3 linked regions of the Oryzias latipes genome follow. The protein of the gene in region 2 purifies or fractionates together with the protein of the main gene of each other region. This does not show direct contact. Links are inferred from orthologs where the notes say so. Each region holds a gene or a part of one and is shown on either strand. Other genes may lie near its edges.

What was found. The genes of interacting proteins can lie anywhere in the genome.
Region 1: the proteins of mtx2 (region 2) and immt purify together in Homo sapiens (co-immunoprecipitation; 5 studies listed by BioGRID and IntAct, counting the BioPlex papers as one, with this or other methods). This does not show direct contact. The link is inferred for Oryzias latipes from reciprocal best matches to the Homo sapiens genes MTX2 and IMMT.
Region 3: the proteins of mtx2 (region 2) and MICOS complex subunit mic25a-like purify together in Homo sapiens (co-immunoprecipitation; 3 studies listed by BioGRID and IntAct, counting the BioPlex papers as one, with this or other methods). This does not show direct contact. The link is inferred for Oryzias latipes from reciprocal best matches to the Homo sapiens genes MTX2 and CHCHD6.

What each region holds. Positions count from the first base shown.
Region 1 is NC_019868.2:4,710,297-4,714,476, reverse strand, and holds part of immt (MICOS complex subunit MIC60), read right to left. Parts: intron 3,200-4,180; coding exon 3,107-3,199; intron 2,921-3,106; coding exon 2,765-2,920; intron 2,618-2,764; coding exon 2,484-2,617; intron 1,842-2,483; coding exon 1,735-1,841; intron 1,487-1,734; coding exon 1,351-1,486; intron 1-1,350. UniProt on the Homo sapiens protein: Component of the MICOS complex, a large protein complex of the mitochondrial inner membrane that plays crucial roles in the maintenance of crista junctions, inner membrane architecture, and formation of contact sites to the outer membrane.
Region 2 is NC_019873.2:5,189,638-5,194,510, forward strand, and holds the start of mtx2 (metaxin-2), read right to left. Parts: upstream 3,126-4,873; 5' UTR 3,006-3,125; coding exon 2,966-3,005; intron 2,672-2,965; coding exon 2,624-2,671; intron 2,547-2,623; coding exon 2,500-2,546; intron 2,270-2,499; coding exon 2,197-2,269; intron 2,096-2,196; coding exon 2,019-2,095; intron 1-2,018. UniProt on the Homo sapiens protein: Involved in transport of proteins into the mitochondrion.
Region 3 is NC_019865.2:2,331,758-2,335,937, reverse strand, and holds part of MICOS complex subunit mic25a-like, read right to left. Parts: intron 2,679-4,180; coding exon 2,543-2,678; intron 2,115-2,542; coding exon of another isoform or gene 2,109-2,114; exon of another isoform or gene 1,894-2,108; intron 1-1,893. UniProt on the Homo sapiens protein: Component of the MICOS complex, a large protein complex of the mitochondrial inner membrane that plays crucial roles in the maintenance of crista junctions, inner membrane architecture, and formation of contact sites to the outer membrane.

The DNA of each region.
Region 1 (4,180 bases), on a different chromosome or scaffold from region 2:
AGAAAACTCTCTCCAAATAGTAGTGGGCATCTCGGTCCTCTGCATGTCCCTCTACTGGTAACTAGCAAAGTCGCTTTTAACTCGCTACCATAAATGTTATTGTTCATATTTATTTGACGGGGAGAAATACAAAAAACACAGATCATTGCATTGAGACAATCTGATGCCGGCGTTCAAACGTCTCCCTCCTCTCCTCAGCGAAACACCAGACATAAAGCCCCCGCCCCCAACAGGCCGCCTTCAGCAGCTCTCTGCCATTCACGGCCCAAGAGACGGCGTTTGATTGCTTAACTAGTCCAACTATTTTTGTTTGATTTTTTCTGTGCTGCCGCTGACAAAAGGAATTTCCCCATCGTGGGATTAACAAAGTCTTCTATTCTATTCGCTGTGAATTGGGTCTACTGATGATTTAACTGCGGATCAGTCTAAGGCGGGGCTTAGACTCACCGCTTATGGTTCCAGACCCGCAACAAACTAACAGCTGCTTCCTAAAACTTAATAATAAGTAACAACTAATGATATTCTTCCTCCATACAATTTATATAATTTATTGGGTTTACTGGATTTAAAAAAAAATAAAGAAACAGAAAGGAGTCCGTATCAAAGTGAATTTGTTTCCATCATCTCACTTAACTTAATTTAACTCTGGGTGTTTGACAGACAGAAGTCCATTCAAGGTTGTCGAAAATGGACAAAAGATCAAAGGAAACATCACGCTCATAAAGAATAAAAATACTTAAATACATATCCTGTCTGGAACTTTCTCATGTATAAAGTAAAATGTTTTGTTAAAAAAACAATGTCGTTGCAAAATGAGGAAATAAAACACTTTGTTCTTAATTTGTTATTTGTATATTTATTTATTTTTCTTCCTCATAAAGTATCGATAAGAATGTAGTTAAAATACCGGATCGATAAGCAGTATCGATAAGAGTAGTAGTACCGTTACAACCTTAACGATACCCATCCCTATTTGCCACTGTGCACTTTTTGTTTCAACTTAACATAAATTATAAATCCTCCAATTTATGCTGAAGTTTGACTTTATTACTATTAAAAACTTTCAGGGAAATCTTTATTTCACTTAAAACAAAACTAAAAAATTGCTGCTGAGCCTGTTGCTCCCTGCACTTCTAGGAGGAGCTATGTCTTTGGTTGTTTATTTACCGGTACTTGTTTTTTGAAATAAACTAATTGTTTGTGTTTGTATTCTTCTAAATTGTAAAATATTGTCACCTTTACTGCAAATAAATATCGCCTCCAAATACTGATTACCTGCCTCCTTGAGTAATAATGTGTCCTCTAGCCTGAGACCGGGTTAGAGGCAGAGAGAGCAGAGCAGCTGCTAACCTGAGCCACGACTCTGTCCAGGTCCACCACCATCTTATGCAGGTTCTCTTCAGCTGCCAGGACCAGCGGGCGGACGGCGGCCACCTTCAGGTCTTTGGAGCCGTTGATGGTGGCCCTCAGACCATCCAGAGCTTCCCTGCAGGGACGAAAACACAGCTTCAGGGGACGGCGGCGCTCTGTGAGCGGCGGAAGGACACGTGCACACGCCTGAGTGCACGCTAGGAAACGAGGGGAATGTAAAAACAGTCCGACAGCTGGAGATGTTCTGCTGTTCTGAGGCCCAGAACGGCAGAGGAGTGCTGCTAAAGAGCTCAGGAACCAGCAGACAGCAGAGGTGACCTGAGGTCAACAGGGTGACATGTTTTCGGGGTGGGGGTAACTTGCTTGGCTTTCTGAAGGGCAGCTGTCGCGTCCGTCACAGCAGAGGTCCGGTCCATCAGAGCAGCTTCTAGATCCTTCCACTGGACGGACTTCTCCTCGGGAGGACTCTGCTGGGAACAGAGTGTCAGGTCACTGAACTCCTCCCTCTAACGAGCCAATCACATTCCAGAATGTTCCACTGCTGTTGCACCTTCTGTTAATCAATAATCCACATTCGTTTTCAAACCTCTATACCGTAATTCAATCTGAATAAAATCAAACCTCATCATGACAGGTTTTATTTTTGAAATGCTAATTTCCTCTCAGCCCTCCATAAAAAAAAGATGACAGACATTTTCTGTCATCTTTGGAAAAGCCGTGACAAATTTAAAATCCAGAGTTTATACTAAGAAGCTTTTGTCTACTCTTTTTTTATGTTGCTGCTGGAAGCTTGATTGGAAATGTTTATGGAGCATTTTTGTGTGTAATTTTGCTGTTAAAAAGCAAAATAATAGTCTCTGCTAAAATATTTAGTTGCTTTCATTTTAAATTACTCTCTAGAATCCTTTTAATTTATTATTATAAACAAACCTGAGCTTCCATTAACAAAATGATTCATTTCCTTATTTAAAAACTCACAAAAAAAAAAACAAGAAATCTCCCAAATGAATCAGGAATCCATTATCCAAGTAACGATGGACTCCTTTTTTTTTTTTGGGTGGTCTTCCATGACACTGACCACAGGCCCCAGGCCGCTGAGGCCATGGCAGTACCTCTGCTTCCATGGCCTCCTTCAGCTTCTGCGTGTGCTGGTTGATGGCCTGCAGCGCCGCCTCCTGGGCTCCGATGGCCTGCAGCGCTGCTCTGGCTGAACAGGCCAGAGATTCCTCCAGACTGCTGGACACCGCTGGAGAACGGCAAACATCAGACAACCGGCATGAGCCTCACGGTTCTGTTGGAAACTGTCACAAGTCGGGCGTCTGCTGAAGACCCCTCCCACACTGAGGAGACAGTTGAGGTTCTGCCTCAGAGAAATCAGGTTCTCGCGTCAAACCTGCTAAAACGTTCTGCTCATCCTGGTCCTGTTGGGCCAGACGGGCCGACACCTCCTCGGCCGGACGCTCCACCAGCTGTTCTGTGGACCCGGCGGGCGAATCGGCGCCGCTGTGGGCCGCCTCTGAGCCAACGTGGTGACACTCGTCGCAGTGCTCTGAAAAAGAGAGCGCACGCTGAAGAGCGTGCACGTGGACCACTGATAACAGCAGCAGTCAGCCCCCCCTCCACAACTATTTACTGCTAACAGTGACCCTGCTAATGGTAACCATCAACGAGTAACAACTCCCCTAGCCCTGCAGTAATCTGATTACTCTACACATGTTCCTGCTGGGTGATTTACCTGTGACCGCTGTGGGTTGGGTGTCAAACGGCGCCGGGACTGAAGGGACGTCGCTGCTGGCAGAGATGATCTGGGTGGCCTCGGCTGAAGCTCCTGGAGGAACAGACAAGGAGAAGATGAAGGTGGAGTGGACCGGTCGTGGAGAAGGACCTAAAGGTCTGACACAAACTCATCCTGAGCTCAGGATCTGTCCTTCAGTGGAACATGGTGTGTGTGAAAGGACAGGCTAGGATCTTCTCTGTCCTCTAAATCCTTGTTTTTCAACCTTTTTTGAGCCACGGCACACTTTAACCATGACAAAATCCTGCAGCACACCAGCATCCAAAAATGACAAAAAAAGAGAAACTCATAGTCTGTATTGATCTACAGCACCTCCACAATCACACGTGCATTTTTGTGATGATTGTGGCAGAAAAGCTGGAAGCTGCAGCTGTTTTTTCTAAAAGATGTAATAAAAGTTAAGTTAGAAGATTTAAAAACTGTTTGATGTGTGTTCGTTGTGGTTTCAAGACGTTAAGAGGAGAGACTCATTGTACGCTGAGATGCTGTCACTCTAACCCAATGCATTATGGGTGATGTAGTGATGTCAGACAGACTCACTTCTCTGAGCTTCATTGTTTTGTTCACCTGTTCCACGGTCTGATACCAGATTCTGTGGAAAGCTACACCGCTAAAGACGAGCTTTAGCTGGAATTTTTGTTAGAACTGAGAGACTTTAGGAGCAGAATCAGAACAAGGAAGTGAAGAGTTTAACCACTTCTGATTGGTCAGACTGATGACATTTGATTAAGCCTCCAAGAATGATTGGTGGAGACAGTTAAAGGGGCGGGACTTTTTCAGAAATCAGCTGACGCTGCGGCTAAATCGCAGTACCATCATTCTTATCAAAATGTCTTTAATAGAATCAAATAAACACAAAGAAAAGTCTTTTATGATCTTTCATATTCCTAACTACTCAGTGTTTTATCAGGGCCTGTTTGGATGAACAAAGAGCTGATTTCCTGGAGATGGGAAATGTTTTTAGATCAGTTAATGAGGGCAATTTCCCACGGCACACTGGTTGAAAAACACTGA
Region 2 (4,873 bases):
CACCAAGCACCTTCCTACCTGTTTCCCTGATAATCTCTGCTGTAGTTTCCCAGTCATCTGGAAGCTCATCCTGACCACCCAGGACCTGTCTCAACTTCTGCCTAAATTCCTCACAAGTTTCTTCATTCTGTAGCTTCCACCACTTGGTCTTCTTTTCTGTTTTCCCTCTCTTCTTCTTCCTGACCTCCAGAGTCATCTTACACACCACCATGCGGTGCTGTCTGGCTACACTCTCTCCTACCACCACTTTGCAGTCAATAACCTCTCTCAAATGACCTCGTCTGCATAGGATGTAGTCCACCTGAGTACTCCTACCTCCACTTCTGTATGTCACTCTATGTTCCTCTCTCTTCTGGAAGTAAGTGTTGACTACAGCCATTTTCCATATTCCAAATGACCAATTTTTGGAAAAAAAAAGAGACTAGAAAAACTAAAAAGCACCAAAGTGAATTACCCTAAACATAGTCAATTGTAAGCTTAGTGCTATGATCGCTTAAAAGTATAGGAAAGATTTGAGGAAATTGTTAAATGTATCATTAAAAAACCGAGTTGAAATGATGTGTGAGCTGTGAAAACATTTAAAAAAAAGTTGAATAAAAGAAACGGAAAAGCCAAATTCAATGATTCATAAACCAAAAGAGTAAAAAAAAGAAATCAAATAGGTTTTTAAAAACACAAAGTGTTGATAAAAAGAAGACACCTGAAGATAAAATATAACAGAAAAATTCAACACCATAAAAAAATGCAACCCAAATAATGGCAGAATTTTAATTAAATAACAAAATGTATGAATGCGTATTTATTTAATTTAACTTGCAGAAAGACATTAAGATGTAAAATAAAAATAAAAAACAATTGTTATTGAAGTCATAAAAAATGTAAATAAAAACTGACGTATTTACTTTAGTGAGTGTGTGAATATCTGAATCTTATCTGTGGGTTAATAATAATTATTAGTGTGGGTTAGTAAAGTAATTAACTGACTACTGTTCCTTTAAACAAAATGTCATGACACCGAAATAAATGAACAAAACATTAAAAAAAAAAAAACTAGAAGAATCAAGCAGCATTAAGAATGTAAAGAAATAAGAAAAAATGAAATGAAAATGCATGTTAATAATTTTCTGCTCCACCTACTGTGGAAACTAAGGAATATGTTGGAGCCAAAGTATAAATCCCCTTCAAAATGAAACACTGACATTAAGCTGCAGTTGACCTCACAGCCCAAGTTTGAAAGTTCTGTGTAAAATGTAAAAACCAATTCCTGCTGGGTTCTGTGTGGAGTTAGCATGTTCTGCCCGTGCACGCGTGGGTTTTTCCTGGGGACTTCGCTTTCCTCCCACTCTCCTAAAAACATGCTTCACAGGTTCACTGATCAGTCTAAATTGCCCCTATGGGTGTGTGTGTGAGTGTGTGAGTGTGTGTGTATGTGTGTGTGTGTGGTTGTGTTGCCCGCCTTCACACAACCGTAGTTGAACTGGGCTCCGGCAGCACTGTGACCCTGAAAGGGATTCAGTGGCGCCAGTAAATAGATGGATCCATTCATTCCGTTTCTTCCATCTTCTAAACCCGTTTAATCCCTTTCGGGGTCACAGGGCTGCTGGAGCCTATCCCGGCCACTTGTGGGTGAAGGCGGGGGACACCTGGACAGGTCGCCAGTCTGTCGCAGGGTCACATTCACACACCCAGACTCACATTCACACCTGGGGACAATTTAGAGTAACCTATGAACCTATGAAGCAGGTGGGAGGAAGCCAGAGTCCCCGGAGAAAACCCACGCATGCACGGGGAGAACATGCAAGAGCGCTAACCACTGCACCTCCATCACATTCTTATTTATTATCTAATAAATTAATTAGTTAATAGCTTAAACAGACTTGATATATCTATGGATTTTATTTAGTTTTGTATCTTTTTCATTTGTTTTTATTGCTAAAAGTGTTTGAAACAAACCAAATCATTAAAAAATGAATCAAGAATCAAGTATGAAACAGCAGAAGTTGTGTTGATTGATTCACCTTAGCTTTGCTAAACTGCACAATCGGCCCAAGTTCTGACACAACCTGGTTCCCCACATGAATAAAAGGTATTTTACCTAAAGGAAGAGCAAACACAGAGTTTATCCCTTCAGCTCTCACCGTACGTTAACATCAGTTACGTTCTCCAAAGATCAGACAACAACAAGCGTGTACTGACCAGAAGGGGACATGTATTCAGCGTTTGGCCTGCAGACCACCTGCACTGGAAGCCCACACATCCGGAGGTAAGTCTGCAGATGATACAAAGAACAGCTGGAGGAAAAAAAGCTGCAACCTTCATTCATTCATTCATAAAATGTCTGAGATGTGGTGAAAATATCTGAGTGTAGAAGATATATGATGCATTTACTGTAAATTTGAAGAAAAAAAACACCAAAACATTTATTTCATTTTCTGGATTCCAAGCAGGAAAGTAAAAAAAAGGTTCATTTCATTGCAATAAGTTTCAAAGATGACTTACCTGAACTGCCAGAGAGGAGGCGGAGTCTGACAGCAAAATCTGATCCTCTGTGAGGAAAAAACAGGAACAAATGTAAAGCTGGCAAACATGCAGACAGACAGTTCAGGGCGTTTCAACCCCTCACCCTTCAGTGGCTGGTACAAGGTGGCATTTTCAGGCCAGGGTTCAGCAGCTGTCAACGACAAACACAAGAGCACGCGCTCATTAACTCGTATCATTTATTATTCTTTGATGTTGACATCTTTGTGAGAACTATAAGAAGTCATTCAATAGTCAGCTGACATCTCTGTCACTGTACTGTGTCGTCCTGGACACACTTCGGGATATTTGAACGAGGTGAAAATCAAACACGGGTGTGTTTTCATCCCTCTGGTCAGGTGAACTACTAACTTTAGCCGCTAACCGGCTAAAAAGAAGCAGCTAAATAAACAGCATAGAATCAGAAAAGGCAGAACGTAAACATTACCCGCCATCTGCGACACGAAGGCCTCTGCAGCAAGAGACATGACGAGCAGATTAGCTCTTTAATTCAACTTCCACGGAAACGGGCCGGTTCAGAGGCGTTTCATGTCACATTAAGGACAAATGTTGATGTGCAGTCATGGAGCAGTCCGCCGTCAATAGTCATCCCCCCAGAAAAAGTGCTCTCTACATATGTGGTTCCGCATACTCCCCAACCATCAAATCAGAGAATCTTTTAACGAAACGTCCTTTCCCTACATCTCAAATCCAAATGATTTTAACCAGTATTTTAATAATTCAGAAAAAAAAACAATTACGAACTAAATATTCAAAACTTCCCATTCCTCCAAGGAAGTCCATTTAAAAGCTTTTCAGGTATTTACCCTTCCAAGGAATTGCATGGAAAACGGTTTGGATTTCCTAAAAATTGTTGTTCTTTTTTTATAATGATGACATTGAAACGACTTTGAATGTTTTCACTCTAACATGTTTTGGGATAATATACATTATTGGCTTTCCCCCAAGATTCCATGTTTAGCAGACTTTTCTATTAAGGATATAATTTTTGGGTTTATTTTAGAAAACAAAAACAGATTTTATTTTAAATGATATAATTATTTTTGAGTAGATTCTATATGCAATCAAAATCAAACCATATTTTTTTACATTTCATAAATAATTCTGCTCTTTTTTTTCTTCCGTAAACTTCATGGAAAATAAACTTGCTATGGAACTTCAAAATATCATATGTAACTTGCAGCTTTTTGATAACCCCTAAGTTAATGATGAATATAATGCCCATGTAACCCCTTTATTTTATTTTGTTTTAATCTTTTCTATTTAAGTTTGTATTTTTCTGTATTATTGTATTTTTTTTATTTAACTTTTTTAATGTTGTTTACATTTTTCTATACTTGTTGTGATTGTAACTTGTTGAATTCTTTTTACAACGGCCACAATACTCTAAACCTTAATTGTTTTTCAATTAAAAAAAATGTGGTTCCGCATTCGCAACGCGCAAAAGCAATAAGCCAGTTAAAAAGAGGTATGTGGCCACTAAACCATTCATTTATGACACAGCTTTTAAACATTTACAATATTTGAATCACACCACTTCTGACAGCAGCAGATACAAGCTCCTTTCAAAATAAAATGCACCCTGTATCAAATAAAATCCCACTGCAGCTGTTTTACATGAATTGAAAATGCAAGAAAGTTTTTTCTCTGAATTCAAAGAGTCACACTGGAGGGATAAAATAGCCACATGTAGCTCCATGGCATCAGATTGCAGACCCCCGAGTTAGGCAAATGTTTAACATGACATGTATACCTTAACATGTTGATGTTTATACTAACCTTTCAACTTTTTACATGTAACATTTAGTCATTTATTTATCAATTTTTGTTTAATATATTATTACTTAAGGACATGTAAAATGTAAAAACAAACAAACAAACAAACAAAAAAAAACAACATATGGAGTAGCTGGGTAAATATTTCATAGCTGTCCAAAAGGCTCGTTTTCATTTCTAGGTCTTTGCCAGATGCACAAAAATACCTCAATAGTTAATACAAAAAACATCACTATAGTCAAAAAAATATTTAAAAAAATAAAAAAGATGCAACAGCCAATTCTAAAAAGAATTGCAGTTACTCCTTAGCAAAAAAGAAATACACTTGACATTCATTTTGTTAAATATACTTGAGCATAAGAAAAATAGCAAGGATACTTTAGTGTGTAGAGTAGGAAGCATATGGAATACTTCTTTAGACTAAATTGGAATGTTTTAAGTTGACAATATATAGATGGTACATAAAAAGTAAACTTCAAGTATACTTCCTCTCTTTTAGCATAGACTAAGTATACTTGTAGTAAACTGAAATAGACTACTTTTTCCTGAGGGAAGTTAT
Region 3 (4,180 bases), on a different chromosome or scaffold from region 2:
GACTCATTTGATCTTGAAAGCATCTTATTTGTATCTACTGAAAAAAGGCCTTTCTATGTGAGTAAAGGCAGCTATCAGCAACATGTTATAACTTATGTGCATTGCAGTCTTTTAAAGACACTTTTCATAAAGTTTTCTTCGCTCCTCATTAAATCACAGAGGATAACATGAGAAGGAAACGTACACAGACACACACACACCATTCCAGCGCTGTATGTTTTCATATTTATACCGCATAAGAAGATAAACACCGCCTGTGGTACAGATGATCCTGAAAGAAGACACGATTAGTGCAACAGCAGAGGAATCCTTGTTCAGCAAGCTGATTATCGCACTCTGTATTGTTGTACTCCAAGGATAAGCCTCAGTGCCCCTCAGCAACGCAAAGATGTGAGCTGAGACCCGGGTGAGGCGCAGCGATGCGTTGTTTGGCTGCCTGATCAGCAACTGTACCTTCAAACGCCTTCCCAGCCCGAGCTGTGGAGCCACGGGCTCCCAGCATTCTGTCCTCCGGCTCGCCTTCCTCCTCCTGCTGCACTTTTCTCTCTAACTTTCTGTGAATTTGTAACCAGCGCAGTGATGAACAAAGTGGAGAAACCGGCTTTTTTGGTTGAATAATACAACAGTGAGGCACACTGAGAGTTCTGGGATACTGGGAGGGAAAGGCTGCTTTTTACAGAGTGCATGCATAACTCCTGAATCCTCAGTTGTTCCTCTGTAAAAAACTTTAAGGTTGTGTTTTTTTAACCTCAAGCTGACTGCTTGAACCAAAAATCTTTCTTCTTTTGACTATTGAGGATATAAATCACATATAATGAAAAAATAGAGCATTTTGGTGCTCTATCCAGTATCCAAAAAAAGTATTTTAGTTGATCAAATATTTAGAAATCAAACCAAAGTTCTAAGGCTTCAGATTTATTTTTAATTATGTTTCAACAATTTAGGATTAGTTGACAGTATTGAATTCTGTTATGTTTTAATACTGGTTATGTGCCATTAGATTTAAGTTCATGCTGATTGATAAAAGTTTTGTTCAGTCTGATCGCTTTGATGTTTTCATTCTCCAACACTGGACTGATTTTTCTATGAGGGTTTGAACTTTGAGAGTTTAATCAAGAGAGAAAAAAGTGTAAAAATGTTTGTCTGTCCGAGAAAAATGTATAAAGTGTCTAGTTTTACTGCCTTAAATATCTAAAATAATTGTAAAGAAAATAAAGATGACTTTTTTGCCGATTTTGCTCATCTCGGGTTACTTTTGAAAACAAATATCTGATCGCAAACAAAGATTTTTACAAACTGAACACAAGAGTGATTGACAAGATCCACAGCCAATCAGGAAGCTGCTGTGACGTCATCCTAAGTGATACCTTGTAGTTCCTTGACAGAATTCTCAATCCTCACCACGACGATGAGACACAGCAGCTCATTCCAATGCGGTCAGATGAATGCAGTTAAAAAATGCAATTAAAAAGATATAACGTGATGCACGTTGCTTCCTCCTCTTTTCCCCACAATCCATGTCATAAAAGGTAGAGACCAACGCAGCAGTTAAACTGTTGAGCCTGATGTTTAAAACTGATCAGCAAAACGTAAAGTTTGAATGAACCAACAAACTAACAAAGTGCAGGACTTCCAGAATTTCTTTCTCTAGTTGCTTTGCCTCATAATCCCTGACCAATGAGTGAAGAGATTTTATTGCTGTAGTTTTGTAGGCTGACAAGCCTGACAGCAGTCTGACTACAGTCCAAATGCCTTAAGGTTCAGGACTCGATCCGGACCAGCGGACTAGAACAAACGGTTTTCTCCCGCTTAGAGACTTGTTTTGGATTGAAATCTTTTTTAAGTTCAGGAGAAGCTCTGCAACTCACACAAGAACTTTAGGAAATACCAAGAAACTTTTCCACACATTTATGCAAAACACGACCTTTGCTTTTTCCACCAACCGCCACTGAAAGTACTAAAAAGTGAATTCTTTTTTTTTATGTCGATGCTCTTTGTGTTTTTTCCTGCATCTACGCCACATCTTCTTTTGCTACCTTCTCCTCAATTCCTACAGCTGGCAATACTGATGAACTTTGAAGAGGCTTTGCCACCTTTGTGTCTTTCTCCTAAAGCTTCAGAATTAAACAAACAGAGATGTAGGTTTGGTGAGCATCTGGCTGCATGAAGGAAATCAATTCCAAAAAACTAGAATAACTGGGAAACGTGTTATTTCCATAATTCCATTCAAAAAAATATTCTTTTATTGAAAATAGATCAATAGATCAAACCTCTGTCTTTGCTTTTATGCATAAATGCTGATATCTTCAGTTTCATGAGCTGGAACCCAAATTTACGTAAAAAAATAAATAAAATACAAACTTTAACTTTTTGAAAGGAATTGTGGAAATGAAAACACTTTTCCTTATTATTCTAATCTTTTGTCTTTTTTCTTACAAAGAAAATGACACTAATTTTAACCAATAGTGGAACCATGATTGATACTCTATTTTTTGTTTTTTTATTTTATAAAAAAAGAAACACAGACGGAGAAACCTCTCACCTTTCTTGCAGCGTTTATACATTGCAGGTATTCCTTGGCCAGGTCTGAGCACTTTAGGGTCTGGTCTCTGTTGTCTCTGTAACAAGATAAAATCTGAGCCTGCAGGCCAGAACACACTGGAGCTGTACTGCAAGACCTGCAGGAAACACAGAGAAAAACAAAAATAAAGGTCTACTGAGAACAAATAAAATATTTATCCTCCAACTTCCTTGTTGAAGGTGTCAGATTAAAAACTCAAACACTCATTGAAGGAAAATAAAAGGTAATATTTGTACAGAATTGATCCATTTTAATTCAATGACCAACACTAAACCTATGAGTAAAATACATTAAATGGTCACAGATCCCATAGAAACAATTGAAACCAACATGAAGGTTTAAAGAAAGTCTCTTCAGATTCAAACTCTGCAGATCATTGAGGTCTTTGAGGCTTTAGACCAGATATCCCTGGATTGACCTTTACATCTGGGTTTGAATGTAGCAAATGGCTTTAAACAAAAAAAACGAAAAGAAAGAAACACGTCCTTTGTCTTCTAGTTATTATGTACGGCACTAAACTCTGGAACAAGTTTAAATCTAAGAAAAATTCAGAAAAATTCAGAAATAGGAACGATTTTTTCACAATATGGGGTTGAGGGAACTTAATAACATCCAACACTTTCTGATCAATAAGCAATTTATTTTTGTTTTATTAGGTTTAATAGATTAATATTGATTTCGGGAATTTGGTAAAAGAAATTCTGAAGATAATAAGAATTTCGGACTTGGACTGAAAACGTTTTAAAGACCCGCTTCAATGAAAATCTCATTTTTAAAATCCTCTGGGGACATTTTTACCATAATAGATGTTAAGAAGTATAAAGTATAAAATTCTGTTTTTGACTATTTCTTTATTCAAATTGTTGTGAATTGTGAATGCTTTGAAAATACATCAAAATATGATCACAGACCGACTTTAAGAACTTTAAACAGATGTTAAGAACAAAAAAATGTTTTATAAAACATTGTGAGGCGGCATACTTTGAATTAGCTTTTTCTCACTTACTTTTACCCAATCAATCAGTCTTTGGATTCAATAGATTCAATGTATCGTGTGTAAATAGGTCTACTGATGATTATAATCCATATTTAAAACGGCATGATTTGTCTTTTATTTTTTAATCAACTTATGAATTGATATCTTAAATTGGTTTATATTGACATCGGTTTTTTGTATTGTCCTTTTTCCCCCCTTTTTCTTTCTTTATCGCTTGAAATCGGTTAACCAACCAACCAACCAACCAACCAATCAATTCTATTCTTTTAAAGACTAAACTTGTGGAGATCGCTGCTAAAAAATAAATAAATAAAATCGGTATAACTATACCGATGAGTTTCTTTGTTTCATCTTCCACAAAAAAGCAAAACTTTTCCAAACATGCTGTTTTTTTTAAAAGAAACTAATCTTAATAGAATAATTAGGCGTATGACGGTAACATTCTCGTCTGCACAGATGGGAACCTGTTCAACAACAAATGCGCTGCCTGGTACGTGTTTCATTGCAAATTGTACAATTAGAGCCCAATCACACTTAATTGAGTGGGTTGGATCATTCTGATGAAATACAGCGAGAAGGTGAGCTTTGAGAGATTAAATTAG